Linked DNA regions of Struthio camelus. The protein of the gene in region 2 interacts with the protein of the main gene of each other region in a pairwise test. Links are inferred from orthologs where the notes say so. Each region holds a gene or a part of one and is shown on either strand. Other genes may lie near its edges. The genes, in order: PPP1R3B, PPP1CB, PPP1R16A and PPP1R7.

What was found.
Region 1: the proteins of PPP1CB (region 2) and PPP1R3B interact in a two-hybrid assay, tested with the Homo sapiens proteins (2 studies listed by BioGRID and IntAct). The link is inferred for Struthio camelus from reciprocal best matches to the Homo sapiens genes PPP1CB and PPP1R3B.
Region 3: the proteins of PPP1CB (region 2) and PPP1R16A interact in binary tests that used the Homo sapiens proteins (3 or more experiments, as listed by UniProt). The two-hybrid records come from large-scale screens. The link is inferred for Struthio camelus from reciprocal best matches to the Homo sapiens genes PPP1CB and PPP1R16A.
Region 4: the proteins of PPP1CB (region 2) and PPP1R7 interact in binary tests that used the Homo sapiens proteins (3 or more experiments, as listed by UniProt). The link is inferred for Struthio camelus from reciprocal best matches to the Homo sapiens genes PPP1CB and PPP1R7.

The regions. Positions count from the first base shown.
Region 1 is NC_090945.1:3,001,818-3,010,047, forward strand, and holds the start of PPP1R3B (protein phosphatase 1 regulatory subunit 3B), read left to right. Parts: upstream 1-4,972; 5' UTR 4,973-5,055; coding exon 5,056-5,069; intron 5,070-5,616; exon of another isoform or gene 5,617-8,067; intron 8,068-8,075; coding exon 8,076-8,230. UniProt on the Homo sapiens protein: Acts as a glycogen-targeting subunit for phosphatase PP1. Facilitates interaction of the PP1 with enzymes of the glycogen metabolism and regulates its activity.
Region 2 is NC_090944.1:108,070,580-108,077,965, forward strand, and holds the start of PPP1CB (serine/threonine-protein phosphatase PP1-beta catalytic subunit), read left to right. Parts: upstream 1-4,286; 5' UTR 4,287-4,586; coding exon 4,587-4,638; intron 4,639-7,386. UniProt on the Homo sapiens protein: Protein phosphatase that associates with over 200 regulatory proteins to form highly specific holoenzymes which dephosphorylate hundreds of biological targets.
Region 3 is NC_090943.1:172,443,313-172,450,609, forward strand, and holds the start of PPP1R16A (protein phosphatase 1 regulatory subunit 16A), read right to left. Parts: upstream 3,241-7,297; 5' UTR 3,217-3,240; intron 1-3,216. UniProt on the Homo sapiens protein: Inhibits protein phosphatase 1 activity toward phosphorylase, myosin light chain and myosin substrates.
Region 4 is NC_090950.1:3,846,057-3,853,909, forward strand, and holds the start of PPP1R7 (protein phosphatase 1 regulatory subunit 7), read right to left. Parts: upstream 3,170-7,853; 5' UTR 3,106-3,169; coding exon 3,063-3,105; intron 2,337-3,062; exon of another isoform or gene 2,259-2,336; intron 2,097-2,258; coding exon 1,974-2,096; intron 1-1,973. Other genes in the region: PASK (PAS domain-containing serine/threonine-protein kinase), read left to right, coding at 4,114-4,198, 4,373-4,588, 5,691-5,926, 6,940-7,110. UniProt on the Homo sapiens protein: Regulatory subunit of protein phosphatase 1.

The DNA.
Region 1 (8,230 bases), on a different chromosome or scaffold from region 2:
GAAAGCAAGTGAGCCCATCTTTTACTGACGTTGATGTTAGGATGAGACTAAACGTTTCAGGGAGGGACTGACCATTCCGTTTGCAGTAGAGAGAGCCTAGATACTGAAAGAGCCCTATCTGAGAGGCATGAACCCTTGAAGAGAGTTTAGGACTGTATGTATTACCAAGAACTACATGCATCACTCAGTCTGACCTCCTCTCTCAGCCTTTGTCAGCATACAAGAAGTGACTTGCAAGCAAAGTGCAGTCTGTCACGCAAGAATTTGCCCTCAGAGTCCCCAAGTCTGGCTACATGCAAGTTCCCAAGATATCTTCCCCATCAAATAAGGTTTGCAGTCTTTCTAGGGCACCACAGTTAAAACATACATTGCTTCACCATGAGTTGTGCATCGAGGGTAGATCCAAGTCCAGCAAGCCAGACACTCGGGTGGTGTAAACAAGCCAAGCGATGCTGGAGTCAATGCATCTGGACAGATTTAGCCTGCCTGAGGAACAGAGCCTCTCTTCTCTCTCTGCAATCACATTACTGTATCAACGGAAATAATTATTAAAATAATTTAATCTCCCTCATCGTTCCACCAGAGACCTTGCTGTCCCTCTGCTACAAGGGCATACAGTGAATTTTGAGGATTTTAGATTCTAGTCCAAGCTTTTGCCTTCAAGAGGCTGTGTCTCTATGCTGCTCGTTGCCTTCATGTAGGAGGGCATGTACAACTTACAGACAGGTTTTGCACATCACATTGACACAGCCAGGTAACTCCAGGTTGCAAACAAACAGCACAGGAGATGGCAAGTCACCGTGTTTCTTTGCATCAACCAAAGCATAGTCCATAGGTCTCCATCCCCATGTTCACTAGGGGAGAAAGGGATGTTCTCAAGAAAAATCCCTGTAAGGACAGGTACACCATTGTTGCATTGATTAGTGCAACCTTGGGGCAGACAACCAACCTCCTTGCTTTTGCGATGATTTTCCCAGGGCTTCACTAATGGCAAGGAAACCTGTAGACAGCATGAAAGCAAGGTCATGGAGCAGCTCTCTGGAGAGAACATTGTAGACCTTCAGAGAGCAGGAGGCCCCCCCTTCTCTCCTTGGAGCGACTCACCTACTTTTAGGTTCCCAGCTTTTGAAGAAGAGGTTGTTTTAACCTTGGTACCCCGCATACAGGACCTCACCTTTGCATCACCGTAACATCTTTGACTATCTCCTTGTGTGCTTGGCCAAGGACTTCCCTCTTTGTTGTTCCTGCCTGCCAATCATTTCGTCACTCTTCACTCCCTTTTTCCTTGTGGGGAGCAGCTTCCCTTAGGACTCATTTGTAACTTCGCTGCACTCATTCCCTCCCCCATAGCCACCCATTTTGCAAGGACTTTCACGGTCTCTGTTGCTGGGCCTATTCATTATTAAGAGGCAACAGTTTTAAACCGCCTGGTGTTTTCTGCAGCACACAGCCCCAGGCCAGCTTTTGTGTCTGGCCCCCGCATTGTCTTCTCTGTGCTGGAGCGGAAGGTGCCACAGCCTTAAGTAGGGCAGAGTACACGTTCCTCAGGGTGCTTGACCATCTCTGCCCACATGAGATCCAAAGGGAGCCATGCCAAGGTAAATCTCCTCCCTCGGGCTCCCTGCCAGTGCGCTGCAGTAGCTCCTCGTCTCTGGACGAAGCCAGAAGCGGTGATGGGGCCACTGCCTCACGGCGCCACACAGTCAGGAGACCCAGAGCAGGATTTCCTTTGACGCTGTCAGATGTTGAACGCTTGCTGCCTAATTTCCTGAGGCAGCTGCAGGAGTTTGCACCCTGTGGCAATAAAAGAGAGGGTTCCCCTCACCCAGCGGGACTTTGCAGGACTTCTCCTTGGTGGAGCAGGGTTTGCTGTGACCCTATGGGAGCTGTGCACAGGAGCTACCAGGTGATGCCCATCAGACCTGAGGTAGGGATGAGGCAGGACTGGCAGCCGGACAGATACACAACTAAGCTGCTGACATGTCCTTTCTGGAGGCCAGTAAGACCCACGGCCGCCCACCACTGCTCCCAGGGCCCCGCACTGGCCCCAACTCTCCTGCCATGCCTCAGCGCTGCCCAAAATAGTCTTTACTATTTTGGGCAGGCTTTCCTCCTGGATCACGTGTTCCCAATGACAAAAAAGACTCCAAAATTAGTCTCCCCTTCAGCATTTTGACATGAGGCAACACCTGGTGAAAATTACTTCAGCATTGCCCTCACGGCCTTGTCACAGGCAAATGGACTTTTTAAAAAAAAAAAAAAAAAAAAGAAAACCCCTCCTCTGCTTGAGGTAAACACCAGGGCCTGGCTCAAAGGCAGCAGCAGCTTCTCAGTACGGCCAGTTTGGAAACCACTGGCGAGCCTCACCATTGCAACAGGTCAGAGCACGAGGAGCGCAGCCTCTTTGCTGCTGTCCCTGGGGATGGAGACCCATCCCATCCCACAGGTTTACAACACTCGCCCTTGAGCCTTGGCCCCGCCGCAGCGCGGCGGCATTACACAACCCGCCGGGCCCCGCTGCCCTTTCTCGCCAGCCCTCTCCCCCTGGGGTGGGGTGGGGGGGAGCTGCCAAACCCTTGTGGCGGCAAAGCCCAAAAGGGTCCCCAAGGACCTACTTGAGCCCGCTGGGCTTCCCCGTAGCCAGTCCAGCTCTGCCCCATCCCTGACACAGTAGGAAGGGTGGAAAGGTGTGTGTGGAAGCCATTGAGCCCCCCCACGCGCAAGGGCCAAGCACAGAGCTAAATATAGCCCTTATCTCAGCTCCCGAAAGATAACAGCCTGTGTCCACAGCCCGCCACAACGCCCCGCACCGATTTCTACCTACCTTTGCTTTGGGGGCAAATACCAGGCAGCAGTTGTGAAACACCCTGCCCTGGCCACGGCAAACAGGGCCTTAATCAGAGAGCAGAAATAGACCCTAAGCCACCTTGCATGTATTAGCTTCTTAGTTCACACAGCCAGATTACCAAAATTTTCACAGCTCCAAGGCCAGCCAGTATCTCCCTCAGCATCTCTGTGGTCTCAGACAGCTGTCACACAAGCGTGTCACAAGAAACCTGTGATGGAGCAGAGCAACAGGCACAAGCTAGGCTGGGGCCTCCCTGTTTTTAGGGCCATCTCATTAAACTTACCACTTCCACTTGGCCCTGTCTGACAGGCCAAACCTGCAATGCCAAGCCCAGGTCGGGGCGACCCTGCCTAGAGGAGGCCAGGGAAGCAGTGGAGAGGGCCCATGAGCCTGACAGCCGTACATGGCTCTCTCTATAGCTCCTGGGGCGAATCCGACCACAGTTCCTCCTAGCCCTGCTGAAAACCTTTCGCTAAATAGCACATGCTGAAATACCACCCTATCGGGGCAGGCAAAACATTGCCGTAAGCCTGCAAGGCTGCTGTAGTGGATACATCTCTCAGCTCTCTCTCTCCCCAACTTCTCTAAATCTCCTTGCAATCTCCTTTGTCTAAGAATGGGAGCTTCTAAGGCTAAAACAATGCTCGTCTTCCCTCAGTGAAATCCTTCCGCCCCACAGAGTGATAAGCTTACGAAATTACAGCATACAGCAGGGAGTCTCCAGGTTTAACAACAGCTCTGTGTGTGCTCCCACAAGTTGCTTGCAAGCAAACATCAACGCTTCATCCCTGCTTTTATGCTCTGTAAGGGGAGGGGAGAGAGAGCATTGCTCACAGCTGCGCACTTAGAGGCCAGATGCAGCAAAAGAGAAGCAAACGCTATTATCCCCTGACGTTGCCACGGGAAGAAGGCACCGTCCCCACCTCCCGGCAGGTGTTACAGCCTCTGCTGCTTGCCCGCGGCGCCAGTTCTCGCTCCCAAAGCCACTTCCCTGCACGCACGTGGCAGGAGATCGCTGGAGACGTGGGACTCCGCGCTGGAGCGGACTCGGGAGCAGTCTCGGGGGGCAGAGAGGCTGACCCGTGGCAGGAGGGCAGCCACGGAGACTCCCTAACCTGGCTGGCCTCTTGCAATGCGAGCAGGGGTCCATGCCAGAGCAGCAGCTTGCCTAATGGACACCCCCGGAGTGTCAGAAACGCCTTCCCAGCCCCTCGCACAAGCCAGGACGGATACTCCCTTCGCCTTGGCCTCTGCGCCTGTCGGGTCCCGCAGGTGTTTTTTTTCCTAACGAAAGTCATTTCTGCGAGGAAGTCGTTTTTTTCCGTCTCACACCATAAACGGTGCCAGGAAAGAGTGTGTCGAAGTATCCCCTCGAGATTTCCACATCGAGGTGCTTCCCCACCCACCCAGCGTCAGCGTAGACCTGCTGGCTGGCGCTGCAGTCACAAGATGTGGACGTGCGAGTAAACCCGAGCGCCGAAACATCCTGAGCCAGCCCAGTCAAGAAGATCAGTGCCCAAAAAAGGCTTTCCTGCCACAAGCAAAAAAGTAAAAAAAAAAAAAAAATAAAATAAAATAAATAAAAATAAAAATAAAAATAAAAATCCTGTAGCCCTTCTTATCTGCCTGTATGCATCCTCCACCAAGCTCAGTCCTTCTAAGCTTCTCCGTGCTTCCAAGCAAGCGTCCGAGGCCCAAAACAGAGCTTGTACCTCCTGACGGGACAAACTCAGACAGAGGGGGCTGAAATAGGAGGTTCCCCCCTTCCACGTACGGGAGGGTCGCCTAGTTTTTTTTTTTTTTTTTTTTGGGGGGGGGGGGTGTTGCAAGCCTCAAGGCTGCATCGTGATCCCAAGCCAAGGAGCCTGGATGAGCCCACGGGCAGATTAAACCCAGCCAGGGCGGAGCAGGCTCTCAGCACCCAGGGGTGCCGCAAGTGCCCAGAATAAATGCACACCCTCCCCCCTTTTTTTGCCCTCCGTAAGCGCCCGCGGTTGCCGCGGGGTGGGGGGGGGGGACGCGGGTGCCCCCCCCCTCACCCGCCGCACCGCCCGCCCATTGGCCCGCCCGCCGCGTTCGGAGTGCGCTCATTGGCTGCGGCGCGCGGGCGGGCGGTGCGGGGAGGAGGCGCGGCGCGGCCGGGCGCTTTTAAGGCGCCGGGTCCGGGAGCGGCGCGGGCAGCGGGTCGGGCCGGCAGTGGGGATCTCATGCACTGCACAAGGTACGGCCGGGGGGGTCGTGCATGTTGGGGGGGGGGGTTTCATCCGGTGTCTGCCCTGCTCCCCAGCGAGTGCCTGAGGTACCTGGGCAGTGGGTCTGTCCTAGCTCTCTTTCTGCCCTGGCCTCATCACTGTGGTGATGATATTCACAGGTCTCAGTTGTGGAGGCCCTATGGGGTTTGCTCTGGCCTTGGATTTGGCTTCTGGGGTGCCCCCTTGATTTCTTACATCAGTTCCTCCCCCTCCCAAGCCTGGCTGTTTGGGCCTGGTGGACCACAGCTGCTGTGAGGGGTAGCCCTGGGGCAGTGATGAATTTGTTAGGCCTCCTGCCTCTGCTTCCTGTGAGGCAAGGTGCTGGTGGAGGATCTGTGGCTTGTGCCAGGCTCTGTGCCAGCTTCCTCCAAGAGAGGAGAAACCTGGTTGTTTCTGGCTCTCTCATCTGGTTTCAGCTGCATAGGAGAGGCCTGAAGAGCTGTGCTTTGTGCATGTGGGTGGAGGAGACTGGCTATAGCAGGGTTAACATGCATTGCCTGGACTTCAGATACTTGCCTGTAAGGACAGGGCTGGACTGTAGGAACAGCTTGGCCTTTTTCCCAACCAGGAGTGATGGAGGGCTGAAAAACAGAATGGCAGCATATAACCTCTAAAAACTTCCTGCAGCTGGTCTGAGGGCTGCTGCATGTCAAGCTGTCAGTGAAGGGTAGCAGAAGGAGCCTACATAAAAGTGGTGCTGAAAGGTGCAGATTGCCTCTGCAATCTGAGGCTTTTGATAATTGTGAATGTGAAAAATTCCCTTGCTCTGAGCTCCTTTTTGAAAATGGAGGGAAGCATGAGCAGGGATGTCTCTTCCTGGAGAGGATGAAACTGCCAGAAGAGGTTTTTGGGTACAAACAGCAAAGTCTAGTCTCCTCCCTCCTTTTTTAGAGGAGGAAAAAGGAAGCTGTCTCCATAACTGCAAAGGGCTGCCTCTCTTCCCCCCTGCCTTGCTTCCTCCTCTTCCTGAACTCGCTTTGCCATGTGAGCTCTTAAAACTTATGTTTTCTGCTCTCACCATCAAACTATCTGGAGTTATGGCTGATATTAGCTGTGAAAGGGGGACTGTTCTCTGTATGATTGTGAGTTGGGGATTTGGCTGAACCTCAAATCAAGAGCTGAAAGTGAGGTCTGGAGCATAACACGAGCTGGAAACTGCAGCCAGTTTGTGGAGTGGGCTGCTCAATTTAATAGTGGGTAAGAAAAGCTCTACTGTGGACCTTTTGCCACACTAAGGACTAAGTAATGCAAATTGGGCTGGATATTGCATGCCTCTTCATTTTTAAAAAAAAAAATCAGGAATATCTGAGGCTTACTAAGAAAAGTTGGGTTTTTTTGCAGCTATGGGAATTCAGTTAAATAACTTCTGCTGGGAAAAGATGAGACTAATGGAGAAGCTGACCTAGATAAGAGGCTGCCTTATTTTAAAGGAGGAAGTGACTTATTTAAAGCATGTATGAATAAAAACTTGGTGAAACCAGGTAGAGCTGAGCAGAATGGTGTTAGCAGACAGGTGGGTCTGCTGTCCATCTGATGTGGCTGCCCAGAAGCAGCTAGGCGGTGGGTGTGTTGAGGAGCAGGCCTTGGCATGTGTACTCTGAATAAGCAGATGCCCTTGCTGAATGGATGCTGTGAAAGACCCCTCAGAGCTGCTCTGTTGGCATTGCAGGGTGGGGAGCTAAAGGGCTGAATCGGAGGAGTGTTGTTCTGCTTTTTCTTGGCATGGGGACTGCAGTCCTGTATTGGAGCTGGCCAGGAGTATTTTGGCAGCTTGAGCACTGGTGTATCATGTGGTCAGCGGACTGCTACTACTGCTGCTGGCTCACAGTGGATCATGCAGTGGGAGCAGGTTTGGAGCATGATCTGCAGTCAAGCAGGGAATTTTTATTCAGAGAATACTCTGAGCTGAAGGTCAGGTGTGCCCCAGCTGATTATGAAGAGGGATGCAATAAATCTGTGTCCTGGAGCTTATCTGGAGCCAGGCCAAATCAATTCTTCCAAGAATGTCCAATCTAGCTTCAATGTAAGGGAAGGAATGACAAGTGAGATGTGTTAAGAACTGTTTGCCTGCAGATGCAGCTCTAGGCAATAATGCCAAGTGGAAGCTCCTCCAGAGAGGAGACTGCTGCATCCCTCCAAGTATGGGCCAGATCCTAGAGAAGGAAAGGCTGTGGTGGAGGACCACACAGCCTGAGCCTTCTGGAGGAAGTACTTATTTTTCAAAGCCTCAGTAAGCCTTGAGTAGGTGTGCTTGACTGAGCCCTGTGGCTGTGCCAACATCTCCCAGAGGCTTGGCACAAGTGCTGCAGAGGTTTGAGGAACAAGCTCTGCACTGGAGGTAAAAAACTTGCTGGACTGTCTCAGCTGACCTGTAGTTCAACCTGACAAATGTGCATGGTGTATCTGCTTTTTTTCCCTCTGAAAAAGCTTGCTGCTCAGGGTTCGGTGAAAGGTGAGGTCAGTTGCACACAGCAGCTTGTGATGAAATGGGTTCCTGTTCCTACAAAATCGTCTGGTGCAGTGGGGAGAGTCTCTGCTGGAGGGAGGAAGCTACAGCAGAAATACTGCATTAGGTCGCACTGGAGTCTGTGATGATCCCTGTCCTGCTGCTGACCACAAAACCTGACACAGCCATGGCTTTTGCTTTGGGTCAAAAAAGCTCCACAGGCTGCTATTGCTAGCCTGGCAGGGTTTGTTTCAAATGGTTGCTTTGGCCCAGCTGCAATTGGAGGTGATCCTGTGCTTGAAGGACACAAGAAGCTCTGCTTCAGCCTCTTCTGCTGTAGTACACTTCTGAACATGTCTGTCCATCATACCATATAAGTACTTGCCTTTAATGACGCTTTAGGGACTTGGGGGTGGATGATGGAAGCTAAGCTCTGAGGAGGGAGGGGAGGAAGCAGAGTAGCAGTGGTCTGACAAGTCAGGTTCATAAAAGGTTCCTCTAACATAAACTGACGCTTCTTATCTTTCAGAGTTTTAGACTACTTTCCTCACAAACAAGCAATGGCTGTGGATATAGCAATGCAGCTGTACCTGTGCCCTTCACCTTTGCGAAGAGAGAAGCGTGCCTGCAAAATTGCTCCAAAGCCAATTAAACCGCTGCGGCCCTGTATCCAGCTGAATAGCA
Region 2 (7,386 bases):
AATCTGGAGCATCTGCATCTGAGTTTCCTATTAGCTGTTTGAAGTGGAAAGAGTAAGTGTAAAATGTAAGTAGAATATTTGCAGTGTATTACTTTAATAATAGCCTCTCTTTTGTTCTATTAATATTTAATTATTTATACAAACTGTAACAGCTACATCAAGAGAGATGGATCAGCACTATAGCTGAATGATTACGGCATGCATCTGATGCATAACAGATCCAAACTCAGGTCCTCGCTCCAACAGGTATTGAGCTATTTATACCAAGTGTGGCAGTTCAAAAAGGGATAACGGGAGACCTGCCTAGGATGCAACAGTTCAGAGAAGAGTTTCTCACATCCTAGGTAACTGCCTGCAAATTCAAACCACTGGTTATTTTGGGTTTGTTTTCCTTCCTCTCTAATTTCTCAGGAAACTTGATAAAATCTCTGTTTCAGCTCAGTCTGGAGCAGTAATATTTTTTTAAAAAGCTTTCTGAATATATAAAGAAACCTATTATCTACCCAGCTTTAGTGCAAATACTGAGCAAGAAAAAAGAGACACAGAATGCTAAAGAGCAGAATCTGATTGGTTTTCTGCACTTGTCTCTGAATCTAAACTTTTGGAAGAAAATAGTGATAATTCATCTGCAGTCTTTGCATATTCTGAGATTACCTTGATGCAGTTTCTTACCATTTCTGTCCAAAGAAACGTCCGTGAACATTGTGTACATAAATTGTCCTAAGGAAGTACACAGCTTTTTTGCTGATTCTGATTACTAAATCAAGTGGGAAACTGAGCTAGGTGCTCAAAATCCGCTTGCAGTGGCTTGGTTACTGGACAAACACAGAGACTGAGAAGGAAGCACTGCTCCAGCTACCACTGCCCAGTGAGAACATGCTCCTAATTACATGCCGGAAAACTAACCACAGGCCATATTGCTTCTCCCTGCTTCCTCCTCCCATCTGCGTAAAAGCTGTAGTCAGCCCTAAGATACACTCAGCAAAAGTGATACAACAGTTTAGAAGCAAGCCATAGTGCTTGAATAACGCTGTAAAGTGCTGCTGTGTGTTTTCTGTAAGATAATTCATGACAGAGCTAGGAGGGCAATGTAGCTGGGGCCATGATTTTTGAAAAACGCAGTTACAATGGCACAGCAAGTAACTTAAAAGAGCATGTAGTCGGTGCCATTAGTAATGGGACATACCGGCTGAAGCAATGTAAGGTTACTAGGAAAGAGCAGATAACATCAGAGATACTGAAACCGTGTTCTGTAGTTGAGGATGCAACAGCCTTGATAGCAGAGCAAGTGAGAACTCGTTCTGAGAGCCCCATTTTTGAGAATGACACTAACATACAATTTTTTACCACCTTTGGAAATCTCTGTCCTTCAAGTCTTGAAAATGCTACAGAACGCCACTGCAAATTAAAGCACACCTCAAGACAGCAGGTGGGTAAGGAGAGGAGAGTTGACACACAGGGTATTTAGGGTAAATGGCACTGAGACTGAGCGGGGGAAAGTTAGAAGCAAAGCCATGTTTGTGGACACAAGAGGAAATTTCAAAATAACTGAAAGGAAGTTTAGAAAGATGAGCATTATTTAGGAGAGTTTGCCAAAGGCATCAGCAACGTTCAAGCTTCTCCTGCTACTTAAATCACCACTTAGATATCTTTGGTCTGTATCTGTGTATGCTATTATGTCAAAAATTACTTAACATTTCTGCTTGATCAAAGAAAATGCATTCAGTCCACATTAAATATTTCTTTCTGAATCACAGGAGAAAACAGGCCTCATTCTCTGATCTTTTAATTCTATTTGTTGTAATGGAATTATGTCATTATAGAACGCAAGGTCTGTCGAGTTTTATTCGCTAAGAGACTCTCATACTCCTTTCCCTGCTCAAGCTCCGAAGCACGTTGGGGCAGACTACACAGAGTTACGCAGCACAGTGTGGTGGCCACCCTCCCTTTTCATGATCCAAATACAGCAGGGGAAGAACTCTGTGATCCAGCAAAGCTCCTATTCCATGAGTTACTGGAGAAGGAAAGAAGCCTTGGCGGGGTATGAGAGCTGAGATCCAGCAGTGGCAGGAACTGAACGGAGTCCTGAAGTTTCATTCCTCCAGTATCTTGAGTAGCGTGAGCAATCTCTCCTCATCCTATGACCCAGCATAATGCCACGCCTCATTCACTCCAGAATATGGAGAAAACTGAAAAGCAGTGAAATAGAGTAGAAAACCAAACTTAATGTATTTACCAGAGTCCCTCAAGAACGCAAGGGCATGATGTGATAGGGTAAAATTAACTAAGAGACTGGTACAGAATCCAGAAAGGAAAAAATAAGCTATTTTTTTCAACCCTTGTGCAGTGTGTTCTGTTCCACAGCATCTCTGCTTATTAAATTATTTTGATATTATGATATGCCACCGAGTTGTTTCTGGAACATGCTGACATGCTTAGTAAAAACAGTTATTATGGGATTATGTTTTGCTCAACATATCTCGAAGTTTAATATCTTCTGGAGTTTTTGGAGACAAAGAAATTGTATCTTTATGCCATAGTGAAAGATCATTGCATATTCTCATTCTGTTGTCAATGCAGAATGTTCTATGACTATATAATATTATTATACCTGAATTTGTGTTGGCTTAAAATAACTTTCAGGGCAGTTTTGGTTATGTGAAATGAAATTGGGACAATTCTTAAAAACTCAAGAGGGACTGCCTATCTATTAAATTTGGCAGCAATAAAATAGCTAATATCAAGAATACCCTTGTAAAGCTGAATAATTACTTTTCTTAGTTTGACAAAAAAATGAAGGAAAGATTTAAAGCATTATTTAGATTTTCACTACTGGGAAAAATTGAAAAATAAAAAAGAATATAGTTTCAGCAGATGAGCTGGAATTACATTTTCATAGATGCTACCTACAAATGGGGATGCAACATCTTTCTTTTTTTTTTTTCCAGAGGTTCTTCCTCTTCCTTCAATGTATCCAGCAAAACTTTATTATTGCCTATGTATTTCAAAAGAGCATTCTACTACCGGACTGTCTGGCCACCTAGCATCATCTGACGCCTAATCATTGTCTCGCCTTGTCCTAATTACTTACATTTTGCTCATATACATCTTGTCCTAATCATGAAGTAAAAACTAGGTTTTGAAATTATTTTAGCTGAGAGGATTTTGCTGGCTTGTATAGGTCAATGGAAAAATTCGAATTTGAGCTCAGATAGATGTTTCTATATCAACATCTATATTTAGGCAGATAAATAAGTGGCCTGATTTTTCTAGAACATCTGCAATGTCTTTGGCAAAAGGGATGGCTGGCTATATTTTGTCAGCATGCATACATTTCAATCTGCTGTTCCAGTTCACAAGCAGCTTTCATCAACTGTTTTTTAGATTCTGTCCATCTAGGCAAGCATCTATTGACAAGAGCATGCACTCTAACATGCTCTTGAGCACTCCTCTTAAAAAAAAAAAAAAAGGTTTCAGAAATCATTCAGAAATGCTCTTTCAGAAAAAAAAAAAAGTACTTTTAGCAGTTCCAGCCACAATGAAATATAAACCGTATTAGTTAGGAGATTCTTCCTGACAACTGTGTTAAAACGTGGCTACAAAGAGCACAACTTATCATTCCAGTTCTGATGGACTTCTTTAAAAATAAACTGTGAGCTTTCACAGGCGCAGTTTCAGCAGCAGAAGGGGTGATACACAGGTTACACGCAGCCCACTAGGACTCATTTTCTTGGCTTTTTTCTTTTCCTCCCTCCCTGTAATTGATGCCTGGAAACATAACCTCCGCATAAAGTAAAGCACATTCTCCTGCAGTAACATGTCACGGGGAGGTGGGGCATCACAAGGAGCACCAAATATCCCTACAGCCGTTAGAACATCTTCGGAGCGGATACCCAGTTGGGAGGCAGCCGGCGAGGCTGGCTAACCCCCACAGGGCGGCCTGCTGCCGGCACCCTGACAGGAAAGGCCACCCCGCCCTGCTCTTTGCACGGGACGGACGGCGGCCGACCGAGAGCCAGGGGGAGCAGGTCGGCGAGGCCTGCCTTGGGCTGCTGGGCAGCCCAGACAGCGGTGGAGGAGGACCGCGTCTGCCCGTGCGCACCCTCGGGCACTGCTTCACCGCAGCCGGCCGGCAACCGACCCTCAACGGCCACGGCGCGCGCCCGCCGGTTACTAGGAAACCCACGGGCAGGCGGGGAGAGGGGGGGGAGGGACTGTGACGCTACGCGCGTGCGCACTGGCCGACCCCCCCCCCGCGCGCCCGTTCTGCGCCTGCGCGGTGGCTGGCGCGCGGGGCGGCGGGAGGGGTGAGGAGGCGCATGCGCCCTGGCGGCCTCAGAGGCGGGGAGGAGGCGCGGGGAGGAGGGGTAGGCGCTTCCCCCCCCATTTAGCGCTGAGGGAGCGGGAGCGGCGCTTTCGGGTGCCAGCGCGGGAGAAGCCGGGCGGCCCCAGGGGACCGTCGGAGGAGGAGGAGGGGGGGGGGAAGCCACTTGTCTTCGCCGCCGCCCGCGCGCCCCGCTCCTCCTCTGTGAAGCGCCCTCCGCTCCTCCCTCTCCCCGCCTGGGACCGAGCCTGGTGGCCACAAAATGGCGGACGGGGAGCTGAACGTGGACAGCCTCATCACCCGCCTGCTGGAAGGTGAGCGGGGCGCCCGCCGGGCCTGCGCCCTCCGCGGGGCGCGGGTGGCGGCGCCACCAGGGGGAGCCGCTGCCGCCGCTTGCCCGCGGGGCGGGGGGAGCGGGCGGGGCGGCCCCGCGGCGGGGGCAGCGGCAGCGCCTCCCCCGCACCCGGCCCCGGGGGGCGGCGGAGAGCGGGCTCGGCGCGGCCGGGCCAGGCTCGGGGCCCTCGGAGGGGAGGGGAGGAAGAGGGTTTTAAGCATCCTCGGCGCGCTGGGGTGAGGGGGGAGCCCTCCCCGCTCTAGGTGAAGTGGCGGCTTTTCTTTTCTTTTCTTTCTTTCTTGTTTTCTTTTATTTTTATTTTTTAAAAAGCTTTGCAAGCGCTCTTCCCACGCGGCAGCCGCCCCGGTGAGGGGGGAGCTAGGGCAGCCTCGTTGGCGGCCTTTTCCTTTCCTTCCTCAGCGAGGATACTCCTAGTCCTCCGTGCGTAAAATTATATGCCTAAGCAAGATTAGGTGTGGAGTTGCGTGTGTGTGGGTGTCGGGGGAAGCAGAGGGATTGAGTGTTACTCTGCCTGCCTGCCTATGGGCCAGTCTCCAGAGGTTGCTCTCGGGTGCCTGGATAGCTCTGAGTCTAGTCTCTTACAAGACTAGTAGCTACGAGGGGTTTTGTGTGTGTGTTAAACAGTCATGCTTTCCTTTAAAATAAGGAGAAAACTAGCTGCCTTCCAGTTTATGGAGAAGCTGAGGAATTATTCCTAACGTTTTTCCTCTGTGTAAATGATGTCTCGAGTATCTGGTCTCAGACCTCTCCTCACGTTAGTCTTCCATTCCGTGTTCGACAAATACCTAGTATGGTGGAGACGATTATCCACTTATTTGGTTGCTGTGTTTGAATATTCGGATCACTTAGCAGAAGGCTTTCAGAAAGTAGTTTAAGAAGCATATGCAGTTCTGGGAGAGGAAAAAGTCTGAATGTTTTGTTTAACTGAGTTACTGCAGAGTTTTTGTGGCTTTTTGGTAATCGTATGTTTTTTATAAGTGAAACTGCTAATTGACTTAAACGATTAACAATCAGTATTTTAAAAATACATAAGGCTCTGGCCAGTTGTGCTCATGTTTGTACTTTAAGAAAGATATGCAGTGTAGTATAATGCAAAGAACACCTGCAGGTATCATCAGTTAGCAAAGTGTGTCTCTGTTCACTGATACTGATAAACCTCACTTTTCTGGACCCTGAAACCCAGCTTAGTAATGAAGGTAGTTTTTCAAGACAAACCACATAGTAACCTAGGAAATACTGCGTTCCTAATACTTTTTTTCCCAGGCTTTCAAAATGTGTACGTATATCTGTATGTCCTTATAAAAAGAAGGAGATTTGAAAAATCTTTGAAGGGTACTGTTCCCTCTCTTTTTCTCTTTGCTCATCTGTGTAGCTATTTAAATATAGACTGCTTGAAGAATAGGTAGTTCTCCAGTGTTTCGGGATGCAACTTGTATTGGGCTACTGTCTGTTATCTTAAATGCTACACTGCTTGCTTTATTTATTTTTAATGCAAGAGTTTGGAAATACTTATTCCTGGCTTTTCATACATGCTATAAATGCTTTATGTTGCTGTATCTCTAACATTTTTGAGCTATGACAGAGTACCTAATCTGCACTTTTTATTCTGTACTACTTTAATCTTTCAGAAGTTGCACATACATAGCTTTAAGCAAGCTTTCTTTATAATTCTGTGTCTCTGTTTCTCAGTCTGTTTCTCTCTCTCTGAGCAGAGATTAGGAAGATTTTTAAGGAAAGCAGGACATGTGTCTTCTCTGCTTGTCACCTACTAATAGGAGTGCCTCTTACAACATCTCATCGCCTCAGAAAGGGAATAGATTCTTCTAGGTTGTATTTGAGAAACTATTAAAAGAATACATACACTATATATGAATTTGCTTTGCTTGCATTTGACATCTTTTATTTCCTGTGCTGCTGGTGTATTATAGCTTAAGCTGTGGTCCAAATGTTAGTCTTCACAGGGAAGTTTTTTGTACAATTGGATGGCTAGCATTCTGGAGTTCATGGTGTTGCTTAGCTGGCTTATTGTGGTAAAGTGAGTATAAGCTCCTGTCAGTGTATGCACCCCTCCCCCTCCTCCCCCCCCCCCCCAACAACCTGGAAAAATTTCTATCAACCCTTGCTCTGGAGCAATTAATTTAAAATAAGTTTTTGACTGCTTTCCCCCTCACTTCAGCTTTGGCTTAAATAGTGAGGAATTGCAGCTTTTGAGCTGTATACAGGTGCACGTTAATATATTCAAAATACATTTTCATGAAATGTTGGGATGCAATATATTTAGTCCTTCTTTTAATGTTAAATGGATGACTTTAAACAACAGTCTACAATTGTCTCTCAGTTGCTGCTGCTTGTAAACTTCAAAGGGTAGCAAACGCATATCAAAAGCCGCAGTGACAGGAAGCTTCCTTAATGCCCTTGAGTTGCTGGTTGGGGACACCTGTTTCTAGGCTGTGATACTAGCTGTCATGAGTCCTTGCTCTTACTTAATTAGGTTACTCTAACTGTTTTTTACCCTTATTGCTCAAGACCACTTGCATTTCAGGTTATATGACGCATTAACTTGCCTTTTGATCAGAATTACATACTTGGATCATCTTACCGTCCATGGGTGCATGTACTTTCTTCTTTCTTCTTTTTTCTTTCTTTCTTTCTTGTTATCAATATGAGGAGGCCTATAACCAGGCTGCTTGGGAGAACTCATTGGAAA
Region 3 (7,297 bases), on a different chromosome or scaffold from region 2:
CCCGCCGACAGAGCCGCGGGCCAGCACGTAATCCTCCCCGGCAGCAAACGCAGCTCGTCAAAGACGGAGCAGATCTGGTTCAGCGATTCCTCGGAGAAGGAGCACTCGCCGCAAGGCTCTCGGCCACGGCAGCACGCGCGCTGGAAAGCGGCGCCGCTCCGGAGCCGACCGAGCGGCACCGCCACGGGCGCTGCCGGCACGGGGAGCGCTCCGCTCCACCGCCAGCCCTCGCGTGGCTGAGGCCTCGCTCGAGAAACACGAGTGGTTTCCCGAAGGCGGCAGGCCGCCACGCTGATCTTTAACGCATTTCTTTAGAGCGATTGGTTTCACCGGGCCGCCAGACTCCTCCGTAGGCGCGCACGAATCCCATTAGCATCGTAATACTTAGCAGTGCTTAGCACTTACATTGTACTTTCCACCTTCAAATGCGCTTTCCAGACATTAACCAATTAATGGGATCAGTAAGAGGAGTCGGAGCCCAGCTGCGAACGGCAGGAGCACAAACCGCGGTACACGGAGAGGTGAGGGCAACTCCGGAGCCGGAGGCAGAGCGGGGCAGCGGCCAGCCAGAGCTCCCGCCTGCCTGCAAGCGGGAGGAAGGCAATCCCCCTCCTCGGCCCCCCGAAACGAGAAGCTCCAGCTCGCTCCGGCTCCTCGCGCCGGAAGGGGACCTTCAGAGCAGCCAGCAGCGAACGCAAACCGATTAAAAGCGCCCGCCGGGCTCCGCGGCCGGCCGCGGCGCGCCCTCCCCGAGGAGGGGCCCCGCAGCCAGCGGGACGCCAGGAGCTGGGCAGCCTTCGCTCCCGCCGGCGTCCAGCGCGGCAGCAGTTAACGGCAGGACACGAAACCGCCAGCTTCAAGGTTCAAACTAATCTCTGGCTGCAGAGATTAGGACGAGACCTTCAAAGGGTGCAGATTATCCCACATTTGCTTACTTAGAGCTTTTCGGACGCTTCCTGGGAGGCAGCCGCAGCAGCTCCACGATACCGGCTACGGGGAGCCCCAGCCGAAATCCGAGTTAAATCTACGGTACTACTATGGGTTAACCACCAAGTTTTAACACGGCCCTTTCAGCGCTGGTTCGTATCAGTGCTGCCCATTACCTATGTCGTATCACAGGGCTTAACATACGCTCTTTTCAGACGCTTCTGATTTTTAATCGTTTAAACAGGGAATGATATTTTTTATTCACATCAAGCTACGTTTAGCTGGAAGTTAAAACGCACAAAAAGAACCCAAGAGAATGAATTATGCAAAACAGAACTGCCAAAACGAACTAGGCATACAAGAAAAGTAAATCATCAAAAAATTTGACATTTGAAACTAGCTAAAGCACAAAGAGTTTGACATTTGAAACTAGCCGAAGCACAAAGGGACAGGCCTGAAGAAGTTAAAGATTCCCCGCCATTTCCTATTCTGGAGACAACCGAAGGAGCAGCATCCTCACGCTCATTAAAATGGGTGGATGGCTCACATGCACAGAGCAGCTTCCTCGCTAAACGGCGTTAATGGACACCAGCAAACGCAGGCGGTAACGCCGGACATTACACTTTCAAATTTCTTTCCGACCGTGTACGCTTTTAAGAAAAAAAGCGCTCATCTTTTATTTATTGCTCTTCACATAACCAGCATCGATTCCCCAGGGGTAGAAACGGAGCAACGCGCTGACCCGGACCGATGAGCTCGGTGTTTCGCCGCAGCGGCCGCCCCGAGCGTCCCGCGGGAGCAGCGCTGCCCGCGCGAGGACGGAGGGCCCCCAGCCGAGGCCAGCCAGGGCTCAAGCGACCTAAGGCAACTACCTTAAAAGCGAGGCTCGGCGGGGAAAGGCGGGTGGCGTGGGATGGGCAGGGGAAGCCGGTCTCAGGCGTCCTCGTCCTCACCTAGGGCAGGCGAGGCCCCTGCGCTGGCAGCTCACGCCCAGGGAGGCTCTAGGAAAACAGGTTCTTACAGGTTTTTTAAATACCTGCCGAGGCATCCAGCCCGCCCGCGCGCCTCCTGCGCGGCCGGCTGGCGGGGGCAAGGCCGCGCCGGCCAGTGGCTTCACGCAGCGGCTCTCCGTCCCACCCGGACACCAGCCCGAAGCGGCACCTAACGCCCGGCTCCAGGAGGCGGGTCGGGGAAGACCACCTTCCCCGCTGTTTCCAAGTGTTTTCTCGCCCAGCTCAAGTCCCTCCGAGCTCCTCTCCCGGAGGAATACCCAACCCACGAGTGCTCCGAGCGGCTCCACGGAGATTTAGGCAGCCCCCAACTGCTCTGACACCCCCAAAGGCCCCCTAAGGAACCACTGGCCGCCCCACAGCCAGCGGCCAGGAGAGCCCCCAGGCTCCCCCGGCACACAGCACAGCCCGCCCGGCCCCGAAGGCTTCCCCCTGCCCCACGGAGGGACTCAGCCCCCCGCCACGGGCTTGGGGGCTCATCCACATCACCCTCCCGGTGATCCTGCCCCACTCGCCACGCACCCCCATGGGGGATTCAGCCCTCCCTGGGAGCCCCCAGGCCATCGCACCAGGGATGTCCCAAAATACACCCCGAGGGAGGGAGGGGGGCCCTCCACAGCTCATGTGGGCTGCCCCATGGGGGGGGACCCCCCACATCCCGAGGAGGAGGATCCCCACATCCCGGGGGGGGGGGACCACCGAAGGCCCTATGAGGGGAATCCCCCTGCATCCTGGGGGGGTCAACCCCGACATCCCAGGGGGGCCACCAAATGCCCCATGGGGAGATCCCGCCCATATCCGCCCCATATCCCGCAGGAGCCAAGCCCCATATGCCGGGGGGGGGGCACCAAATGCCCCCTGGGGGGGGATCCCCCCCCAGAGCCCAGCAGAAAGGCCCCCCCAAACACCTCAGCACCCTCCCCCCACATCCCTTGTCCCCAAATGCAGCACAGGGGGCAGGGAATGTCCCCCACAGCCGGGGGAGGGGGGAGACCCCCACACCCTGTGAGGGCCCAAACGCCCCACAGATGAGGGGATCCCCCCCACTACCCGGGGGAAAGCCCCCCCCACACCCCCTGGGGAGGGAGCATCCCACAGCCGGGGGAGGGGGGGACCCCCACACCCTGTGAGGGCCCAAACGCCCCACGGATGGGGGGGGGAAGGGAGCCCCCCCCCAAGCCCAGGGCCGCCCCTAGACGCCCCACGGAGGCGGCCCCGGTCCCCCCTCCCCGTCCCTGGCCCAGCCCGGGGGCTGCCCCCCCCCCCGCCGCGGCCCTACCTGCCGCCGCCGCCGCCGCCGCCGCCCTGCCCGGTGTCGTTCCCTGCTCGGGGCGGGGCCCGCGCGCGCCGCCGCCGCTCGCCATGGCAACCGGCCACACTTCCGGTCCAGGCCGGAAGGGGCGGGGCTCCGGCGGGAAGGGAGGGGGCGCCCCCCCCCCCCCGCTGAGCCGCCATGCGGAGCGTGGCTGGGCGCCACCCCGCCAGGCGGAGCGAGCTGCCACACTCAACATGGCGACGGGAAGGGAACGAGAGGGGAGCCCGGGGCATGCTGGGAGCGAGCGAGGGAGAGGCCGCCGCGGAGCGAGCGCCCCCTGCTGGCCGGCGGGGGGGGGCACGACCCTCTGCCCTGGGGTCACGGGGTCACCGCCGCCTGCCCTGGGGTCACAGCCCAAACTAGGGGTCATGGGGTCACAGCCCCCTGCCCTGGGGTCATGGGTGTCATGACCCACTGCCCTGGGGTCATGGGGTCACGGCCCCCTGCCATGGGGTCACAGGGGTCATGGCCCCCCCGGGGTCATGGGGTCACTGCCCACTGCCCTCAGGTCATGGGGGTCATAGCCCCCCTGGGGTCATGGGGTCACGGCCCCCTGCCCTGGGGTCACATCCCCACCTTGAGGTCATGAGGTCACTGCCCACTGTCCTGGGGTCACAGGGGTCATGGCCCCACCCTGGGGTCATGGGGTCACGGCCCCCTGCCCTGGGGTCACCAGGGCTCATGGGGGCCCAGGGATCATGGCCCCACCCTGGGGTCAAAGGGTCCCAGGGTCATGGGGGCCCCTGCCCTGGGGTCATGGGGGGATCACAGCCTCTGGCCCTGGGGTCACAGGGTCATGTGGGGTCACTGCCCCACCCTGGGGTCATGAGGTCCCAGGAGGTCACGACCCCCCACCCTGGGGTCAGGGGTCACAGTCCCCTTCGCTCTGGGGTCGGTGGAGGTCGGCACCCCTTGCAGAGCTCTGGGGTCCCGGGGGGACCCAGGGGGTCACAGCGGGTGCTCCCAGTGGGTCCCAGCCCCCAGCGTGGGTCCCAGTGCTCCCAGTGAGTCCCAGCCTTGGCTGCGGGTCCCAGTGGCTCCCAGTGGGTCCCAGTCATGGCCGTGGGTCCCAGTGCTCCCAGTGGCTCCCAGTCCCTGCCATGGGTCCCACTGGGTGCCTGTGGGTGCAGCCCCCGCACAGCATGCCGGTGAGGGCCCCCCGTGCAGGGCTCGATCCCACCCTGCCACAGCCGGGCCGCCCCGTCCAGCTCCAGCCCCTTCCTTCCCCAGCCCCATCCCCAGCCCCATCCCAGCCCCAGCCCCATCCCCATCCCCAGCCCCATCCCCATCCCAGCCCTAGCCCCAGCCCCAGCCCCAGCCCCATCCCATCCCCATCCCATCCCCATCCCCAGCCCCATCCCATCCCCATCCCCAGCCCCATCCCCAGCCCAGCCCCAGCCCCAGCCCCAGCCCCAGCCCAGCCCCATCCCATCCCATCCCCATCCCCATCCCAGCCCCATCCCCATCCCCATCCCCATCCCCATCCCCATCCCCATCCCAGCCCCATCCCCATCCCCAGCCCCATCCCATCCCCATCCCCATCCCCATCCCCAGCCCCAGCCCCAGCCCCATCCCCATCCCAGCCCCATCCCATCCCCATCCCCAGCCCCAGCCCCAGCCCCATCCCCAGCCCCATTCCCGTCCCCATCCCATCCCCATCCCCGTCCCCATCCCCATCCCCATCCCCATCCCCATCCCATCCCCATCCCCAGCCCCATCCCATCCCCATCCCCGTCCCCATCCCCATCCCCATCCCCAGCCCCATCCCCATCCCCATCCCCAGCCCCATCCCCATCCCCATCCCAGCCCCATCCCCATCCCCAGCCCCAGCCCCATCCCATCCCCATCCCCATCCCAGCCCCAGCCCCATCCCATCCCCAGCCCCATCCCATCCCCATCCCCATCCCAGCCCCAGCCCCAGCCCCATCCCATCCCCATCCCCAGCCCCATCCCATCCCCATCCCCAGCCCCATCCCCATCCCATCCCCAGCCCCAGCCCCATCCCATCCCAGCCCCATCCCATCCCCAGCCCCAGCCCCATCCCCAGCCCCAGCCCCATCCCAGCCCCATCCCATCCCATCCCCATCCCCAGCCCCATCCTCATCCCCATCCCCATCCCCATCCCCGTCCCCATCCCCATCCCCATCCCCATCCCATCCCCACCCCCACCCCCATCCCCATCCCATCCCATCCCATCCCATCCCATCCCATCCCCATCCCCATCCCCATCCCCATCTCATCCCCAGCCCCATCCCATCCCCATCCCCATCCCATCCCCAGCCCATCCCCAGCCCCATCCCATCCCCATCCCCATCCCCATCCCCATCCCCATCTCATCCCCAGCCCCATCCCCATCCCCATCCCCATCCCATCCCCATCCCCATCCTCATCCCCATCCCCATCCCATCCCCATCCCCATCCCATCCCCAGCCCCATCCCCAGCCCCATCCCAGCCCCAGCCCATCCCCATCCCCAGCCCCATCCCCATCCCAGCCCCAGCCCCAGCCCCAGCCCCAGCCCCATCCCATCCCCATCCCCATCCCAGCCCCATCCCCATCCCCAGCCCCATCCCATCCCCATCCCCATCCCCAGCCCCATCCCATCCCCATCCCCAGCCCCAGCCCCAGCCCCATCCCCATCCCAGCCCCATCCCATCCCCAGCCCCATCCCCATCCCCATCCCCATCCCATCCCCATCCCCATCCCCATCCCATCCCCATCCCCATCCTCATCCCCATCCCCATCCCATCCCCATCCCCATCCCAGCCCCAGCCCCATCCCCAGCCCCATCCCAGCCCCAGCCCATCCCCATCCCCAGCCCCATCCCCATCCCAGCCCCATCCCCATCCCCAGCCCCATCCCATCCCCATCCCCAGCCCCATCCCCAGCCCCATCCCCATCCCCATCCCCATCCCATCCCCATCCCATCCCCAGCCCCAGCCCCATCCCCATCCCCATCCCATCCCCATCCCCAGCCCCATCCCCAGCCCCAGCCCCAGCCCCATCCCCATCCCAGCCCCATCCCATCCCCAGCCCCAGCCCCATCCCCATCCCCATCCCATCCCCATCCCATCCCCATCCCCAGCCCCATCCCCATCCCCAGCCCCATCCCCATCCCCATCCCATCCCCATCCCCAGCCCCATCCCCAGCCCCAGCCCATCCCCATCCCATCCCCATCCCCAGCCCCAGCCCATCCCCATCCCAGCCCCAGCCCAATCCCCATCCCCATCCCCATCCCATCCCCATCCCCATCCCCATCCCATCCCCAGCCCCATCTCATCTCCATCCCCATCCCCATCCCCATCCCATCCTCATCCCCATCCCATCCCCATCCCCATCCCCATCCCCATCCCCATCCCCATCCCCATCCGATCCCCATCCCCATCCCCATCCCCATCCCCATCCCCATTCCCAGCCCCATCCCCAGCCCCATCCCCATCCCCATCCCCATCCCCAGCCCCATCCCCATCCCATCCCCATCCCCAGCCCCATCCCCAGCCCCATCCCATCCCCAGCCCCATCCCCATCCCCAGCCCCATCCCCATCCCATCCCCATCCCCAGCCCCATCCCCAGCCCCATCCCCAGCCCCAGCCCCATCCCCATCCCATCCCCATCCCCATCCCCAGCCCCATCCCCATCCCCATCCCCATCCCCAGCCCCAGCCCCATCCCCATCCCAGCCCCATCCCAGCCCCATCCCAGCCCCATCCCCAGCCCCATCCCAGCCCCATCCCCAGCCCCATCCCCATCCTCATCCCCATCCCCATCCCATCCCATCTCCATCCCCATCCCCATCCCCATCCCCATCCGATCCCCAGCCCCATCCCATCCCCAGCCCCATCCCCAGCCCCATCCCAGCCCCATCCCCATCCCCAGCCCCATCCTATCCCCATCCCCATCCCATCCCCATCCCCAGCCCCAGCCCCAGCCCCATCCCAGCCCCAGCCCCAGCCCCAGCCCCATCCCCATCCTCATCCCCATCCCCATCCCATCCCATCTCCATCCCCATCCCCATCCCATCCCCAGCCCCATCCCCATCCCCATC
Region 4 (7,853 bases), on a different chromosome or scaffold from region 2:
ATGGTTTAGTCCACAATTTTTAGTGTAGCAGGGTTTCTCAAAGGAGAAAAAGAAATATTGCTCCAGCAGTGAAGCTACTTAACTGAGTTTTTATGTAACCCATGCCTGTAAGCTACGCAGCTTTGCAGATGCAGGAAAAACACTACATTTGGGAAACCCAAATTCCGCAATACAGAACAGTAGTTACAGAGTTACGTAATTCCACAGTACCACAAGTATTAATTAAGAGTCTAACTGCACTTTTTAACTGCAAATGCATGAAAAATGTTATAAATATCTAAGCTATAAGCTTCCTAAACAGAGCTGCTATTCTTCAGAAAAATTAGCTGAATGAAAAATGTGAAGTTTCAGCTGCTTGAGTTCTCTCTATTTATGTTCTTCTGTGGAAAGCATGGAAAACTGTTCGTTGTCCTTCACCTGGGCAACTCAACAGCTGCCTACCGAAACTAACTCAAACGTTCCAAAGTTATTTCCTCTGCTTGGTCTCTGTTCTAGTTGAAGTTTGCTGAATCCTACCAGCTCAGAAGAAGAAGAAATGACAATACAGTCATTAAATAAAATAGTCCCAATATAATCCATCCACCAAATCTGAATTACCTTCCTGCTTTAAACTGTAATTAAAGGAAAGACTTCAAATGGCATATTTTCATATTATAATTCCCAGAGGAAACAACATACAAAATATAACTTTGAACATGCAGCTAAATTACGTTAGCTGAATGAACGCTCATTATGCTACATGCGTGCAAAGGAAAACAATGAACGACTGATCTGCTTGTTTTGCTGGCCGTACAGTGCTTGCGCTCTACAATTCCCAAGATGTGCTCCTTCACTTTCATAGACAACATCACACCATTTCGCAATTAATCACAGAAAACTATATGTTAACAGTGAATTATACCTAGAAATAGAGATCATTTAATTAGGAAATGAGAGTTCAAATTCTCACAGTAATTTACTACTTTAGAAACTATTTTTGCAAACTCTAAGGGACAAGGTTAAGAGGGATTTGTAAAAGAGCAACAGCCAAAAAGGATCAAAACACAGCGGAAAAAATTGCTATATTGTTTCACTTTTATTTCCAGGCCAATAGTTACTCGAACGCGTCCATCAGAAGGACGCTATTACATCTCAAATTATCAGGGCGTTCTAGCTCTAGATCTATTAGAGATTTAACTCTTTTTACTCCAACACCCACCAACCAGCACCAGAAGTTCACATAATGTTGCCAGCTGGGGTCTTCAGAGATGGATTTGCTCTGATAGAGTTTAAGCAAGTTACTGAAAAATAAGTCTTTCTATCAAACACACACAAGCTTAAAAAAAGCCTGTCAGAATTTCTACCGCGCTATACTAGTGTAAACAGTAAAAACAGTAGCAGGAGTTCCAAATCAAGAGGATTCAAACATTCAGATACAAGTATTTTGATACATCTTATAATTTGTAAATGTCTAAAAAAACTAAACAAAAGAATTGAAAGCTTCCTTCGATCTATCTAGAAATAGTCTCCTTTGCCTTCCAAACAAATCCAGCAATTTAAAAGTAAAAAAACTACATAACACTAAAGCAGAGATATAAAGAGCTGTTTCTATTCATTTCTAATGAACACTTGCAGCATCTTTCTATAGGAAGTTGCTACTACTTTACCACAAGATAGGTATTAGTAAAGATGTTTCATACTTCGATCTTAAAGATTTCAAAGAGAAGCGTGGTTTCACACACGGGTAAATAAAAAATAATAATAGGAAAAAAAAAATCCCCAAAATCTAATGCCAATGGTTCCATAAAAAAGAGGCAGCTCTGTTCTACCAATGACTACCTTACCACTAATTTTCTCAAAAGAGCTCTAAGAAAAAATCATGAGGTTAATAACATTACCACATATAGCCATGGAAAAGAGAAAGGATCGATGCACAGATACTGCTGTAAGTAAGAAGATCCCTCCTAGGGTGATCAATTAGATTGGCTGGGTACCTGTGCAGTTCTCACCATTCTGCTCCTCTTTCAGGCTCTGCTGACTGAGGTCTGTTACTAAGCAAGCTGCTTGCTTCTTCCCTTCTTCATCTCCCGACTCCTCCGATTCAATCCGCTTATCAACTGCACAAAATACATAACAGCAGATTTAGGCTACTTTCGTGAGCGGGGCAGAGAAGTAGCAAACAAATATAATAACCAGGACTCACATACACCACTATGCAGTTAGTAGAAATCCTAAGTTAACTAAATTAAAGGTTTAGTCTTAAATAAAAGGCCTCTTACCCCTTGTTTCTAGTTTGATTTTGGATGCACTTTTTCCTCCCTTCAGATCTTCCTAAAACCAACAATCTGGGAAGAAGACTGGAGGAAAAAGGAGATTTCTTAGATCAAAGGAGTGCAGATCCAAAGATTACGGAGATGGAATTATAATTATTACATTGTAAAAGCTTTTAGGAAAAAAAAAAATCAGTATCTTGTAAAACAGTAACAAAGACGTGAAGTAGTAAAAGCTTCACAAAAAAAAAAAAAAAAAAAAGAAAAAGCCAATCCCAGCAGATAAAGTAACCATCTCCCCAGCGTGATCGCTCCATCGTTTCCCCAGCCGCAACTCCGGCGGCCGCCCTGGCCCCGGGGAGCCGAGGTCCTTCGTCCTGGGCAGCGCACAGGCACCCCTCAACACGTACACTCCCCTCACGGGGTGGCCGAGGGGAAGCAACGCCATGCCAGGGCGCCGCTTGGTATTATCGTCGGGTTTTCTTTTTTTAGGTCACGCTCACCTCCACACACCCACTTCTGCCACCTCCCGCGCCTGCAGCCCCCCGGGGCGGGGGGGGGGGGCATCACGCTGTGCCCCAAATAGCAGCCCCACCCTGGGCGGCGCAGCACGGCCCAGAGGCCCCCGACGCCCCGGCCCCGGCCGGCAGCCGCCCCCGGGGGGACAAACATCGGAGTCTCCCACACCTCGGAGGACCCGGCAGCCGCTCCGCCCGCGCCCGGCAGCCGCCCCGCCGAGCGGCAACGGCTGAGTCGCGGCCCGCCCCGGCCCCGCAGCGGCCGCGGCCGTGCCGGCCCCCGGCGGGCTCTCACCCTCCATCATCTCCTGCGGTCCCTCTCCGCTCTCCGCCGCCATGTTGCTTCTCCTCCCCCCCCTCCCCCGCCCCCGCCCCCGCCCCCGCCCCCGCCCCCTTCCGGAAACCGTCGCAACGGCCGCCGCCGCCAATCAGAGCCCGCCGCCGGCGAAGGGCCACAGCCAATCACCACTGCAGGTGGTGCGCCGTAAGGGGAGGGGCGGGGCCCGGGCCGCCTGTCAGCTCCCGCGCATGCGTGCGAGCCCGAGCCCCGCTGCCTCCTGGGAGTTGTAGTACCCTGTGAGGAAAAGGAGGAAGCCGCCTGGCATTACTGCGGGGGCGGGGGGCGGTTCCCAGCCCACCAGCAGCCCCTCGGGCGTTACGAGCTGTTTCCGGCTTTTTCGTGCCGCTAGGGAACCCTGGCCCTTGCAGAGGGCTGGTCGTCCTCGGCTCCCCCACACACCTCCTCCCAGGCCGCGAGAGCGGGCAGCCCGGCGCGGCCCGGCTCGGGGCTGCCCGCGGGCAGGCATCCAGGCATCGCAGGGGCGCGAAGAGGGCTGCGGCGAGGGACAGAGAGTCCGGAGGGCGCTGCCCATTCCGCAGCGCTCTGTCAACGCGCCTCCCGCCGCTGCCGCCCCGGCCCGGCCGGGGCCTCCTTGGCAACGGCAGCGCGCGGCCGCCGGGGACGGCTTTGCCCGTTCGAGCGGCCCGCCGCCCCGCGCCTCGGCGCCTGATTGGTTACCCCGCGTGCCGCTCGCCCACCGCCTTTGCTTATTGGGCAGCGCGGCCGGAGAGTCCCGCCCCTTGTTTGCTCGCGCCCGCGGCTCTGTGGTAACTCTCTGAGGGGCGGCGCGTCCGGGCCGGGCCGGTTCGGCCGGGCCGGGGCTGCCCCGTGCAGGGGCCGAGGGAGGACTGCGGGGGGCTGGGCTGGCCCGGGCTGCCCGCCGCGGGCGGGCTGGGGAGGGTGGCCGGTGCGGGGACCGCCCGCCCTGGGCGGGAGGGAGGCCGTGCGGCGGTGGCTGAATCAACGTCGAGAGTTACTGCACGAATAACCTGCTTCTGCTCTGAAAATGAGCAGAAACGGGGAGCGAGTGGTGGCCGGGGGCTTCGGTCGCTCTTCTGGAAGCGCGCTGGCGAAGTCCTGTTGTGCCATAGGTGATGCTGGCAGCACAGACCACAAGTCCCACCTGGCCGGGCAAAAGCTAGTTAGCGGCAGTCTTGCCACAGCTTGCAGGGCTGTGCTTTGGACTAGAAGGCCTGTTCTGCCAATGCTGTGAGCGCTATTGCCTGACCGCGGGCCTGACTGAATTTGTTACGCTTCTGTTACAGGTGGAGGTTTTCTAGGCGCGCGATATGGCAACCAGGCTTTGACTATGGCAGCCGAGGCAGATAGCTCCGCTGAAGAGGGCTTTTTGCCTTCGTCAGCAGGCTTAGCCCTTCATCACTTGAGCGATTCTGATAAGCTAAGTAGATCCTACCCCTGGGCCAGCAAGAGCAGGAGAAGTCAGCTTTCTGAACTCTGCCGGCGCAGAGCCTCTCTCTCCGGTGAGCACATGAAACGCATGTGAATGAGTTTGCGTGTTGTCAATGAAGACGATGATTATTCTTTCAGATGTTTTCAGCTCTTCTTTCTCCCTCCCCCCCCAAAAAAAAAAAAAAAAAGCTAGAGATGATAGCAATAAGCAGCTATTAAAAAGCTCTTATTCAGGCTGGGAGAGTTCTGGGAGGACGTGTCGTAGTATGCTTGCTTTGTATTGGTACTCCTGCCTGGGCAACCTTTATTGGCTGCCACTGGACCAGGCTGTCCTGGGCTTGCAAGATACTTGGTGTTCTAAATATTATGTTCTAAAAAATGAAAAAATTGCCAAATAGGGAGGAAGACGATATTACAGTAGAACCTGTTGAGGAGGAGGAGAACTTTTCAGTTTCAAGCCTGTCCAGATATGGATGTCTCTGTTTTATCATGGTCAGCATATCCATGCTGCATGCAGTGCATAAATGCAGAGGTGTCCTTGTAACGACTTGTTCATACCGCGTCCTCCAGCACAGCTTGCCTTTGAAAGCTATTTGCCCCTTTGGGCGCAGAGTTTGTTGCCGATGCCACTACCTGAAGAAACGCTTTCTACAGGCAGAACTTCTGAAAATTTTAGTACAATCTCTTGGCACTGCATAACATAAAACATTGGTGTGGGCATAGGTATTTCAGTGTCAGCTCTTGTGAGTAGTTAATTTACTGGCTTCTGACTAACTCAGTATTTAAAGAGGGCTTGAACGCTTACAGTAATTATATTTAATAACAGTTTTAATTTTAACTTGAGAGAATTCAAAACCTATCCTTTAACTCTGTTATCTTAAGCGAAAGGAAAGTTGACTAGTCTGGTTGAATTTTATGCATGTTGGCAATGTTTTCTAGCCCGTGAACTGAGTTTAATTGTTCCTGTGACTTACAAAGACATGTTTATTAGAATTGTTTCTGTTATCTTTAGTTTAATTGATTTTGGTATTTTGTAATTTCTAGGAAGCGTATGTTTTGAGTTGAAATTACTTGACAGCTATTTCAGCTGACAAACAGTTTTTTTATTTATTCCTGTAACTACTCCTGTAGTAGACTGCTAGAGCTACATAGCCGATCTTTATCTTCTCACAGGAGAGAAATGGAGCTCTTATTGTTTGTCTTCGCTGGCGGCTCATAACATTTGTTCCAGCAAAATTGGTAACTCTTGGGCTCGGTGGGATTCTGCCTCTCTCTCCAGTTCCATTGGTAGTCCTGCTTCTTGTTCCTTTTTGCATGCCCTTACTGTGGAGGAATCCAGCCAACACCTTGTAACTACTGCACGCAATCCGAACAAAGCCGTCTTCACGGTGGATGTCAACACAACAGAGGTACTTGCCGTATCTGTTGCAGTACGAACCGCTAAACAAAGCAATGCGTACCTAGTATAGGTTGTGTGACATCATGTAGGCTCAAAAGCTTGTTATTCCTGTGTTTGTAGGCAGTGTCCAAATTATGAAGCTTTTTGATAGTCTGCTCAAGCTCAGTGATTCTACAAAGACGGACAATGCATGTATTTCCATTGTAGGTTGTAGTCGGTAAAGTATACAGGACAATATCAGAAGCACTGATGTCTTGAGTCTTTTTTCAAACAGAAAAAGAGAATAAAGAAGAAAGCAGTTGTGATGTGGCATGAGGGAAGAACAGAAAAGCAGAAAATGTTTCGAGCCTTATGACAAGGAAGAACCTTCACTGGGATGGGCTCATGGTGACATGAGGTCTCTGTCTGCCCCAGTACATATGCCTTTTGCACTGGGAGAGAGAATTTCTCTGTTTTTGTCCTGAGAGTAAACGTTAGTATGAAACTGAGTACTGAAAACTGTAAAGCATTGTTTCCTTTTTAGCTTGAACTAACAGTTCAGACCTCCCCATCATAAAGAGAGAGGGGCTAGACACTTAATTGTGACTTGGTCTGTAAATAGGCTTAAGGCTGTCAATTGCTGTGGTTTTTGCACATCTTCAGGGCTCGATAATATTCTGTGGCCAGCCCAGATTTTCCTTGAAAGTGCAGCTCTGTGGTTTTGCCTCTGTGGATATAATTATTTAAACAGCACAAGAGGCTGGAGGGGATAGGCAGTTATAAAGCCAGAAGCTTAAAAGGAAAGCCATGTCTCACACCTTCTTAACAAAGAAGAGGCTTGGGTGAGGGTTGTCCTAGAACAAGAAGTTTTAGTGAGTTGAGTAGTAAGATTTCAGAATTAAAAAGGGCTTCTCCGTTTCCACTGAGAGAGGAAGTGATATTATAAGACATTAACAGATCATCATGCTGTTGCTTTAAAGAAACTTACAGCTCTTCTGTGTTTTTTTTTTCCTTTTTTTTTCTTTTTCCTTTCTGCTTTTGTAGATTCTAGTGGCCAATGACAAAGCCTGCAAGCTGCTTGGATGCAGTAGTCAGGAACTCATTGGTCAAAAGCTGTCCCACTTGATATCAAAATCCAGTCAAGATGTTGTGGAAGCTGTAGGTGAGGAGTACATAGAAGCTGATGGATGTACATCAGTGGTTTCAGGAACTGTGGTATGTGAAATGTTCCAGCAAATATTCCCCACCATACACATCTTTTCCAGTTTGAGGGGTTTGGGTTTTTTGTTTTTTGAGGGTTTTTTTTTTTGTGACGTTTTCAATATTATTTCCTGATATAGGTAACTTTATGGGCATTTGGCAATTAAGTAATTTGTAGGACTGTTTACTTGTGCAGATACGGGCACTCAAAGGGTAAAAGATGGTTTTGGTAGGCACCCGTGAGATCTTTCTAGCTGTCAAACATGTATAGTCATGATGAAGTGATCAAATAAATGCTTGAAGGACACTAGATTTGAAAAACAAAACAAACAAGCCAAAAACTATATGGATTGCTTAGCATAGAAAAATTTATTACTGAAAAGTTCCCAGTTGTCTTGGGTCTCTTGGAATATCTTTTAAATTATCTTAAATTGCATTGTGCACATCAGTCAAATACCATGAAATGGCTGTGACAAAACATCTTAGATGCAGAAGAGCAGAACTGATGTTTTGCCTCTATGGGGGTTATTTATAAGAGAACTGCATGAGAAGCCTCTAAAAATTTCTTTCTTTTGCTGGTATTGTGAGCTGTCACTAGAAAATATTTGGAAAATGAGCTCCTGTTCTTCCTGGTGTGTTATTTTTGTACTCAGGTTGTCAGCATCTCAAAGCTTGATCTTCCTGAGCCTTCAGTTGGGTTTGGGAAGAAAAATCCAAGCCTGAGTAAGTGAAATCCAGAATTAAAATTAAATGGTTGG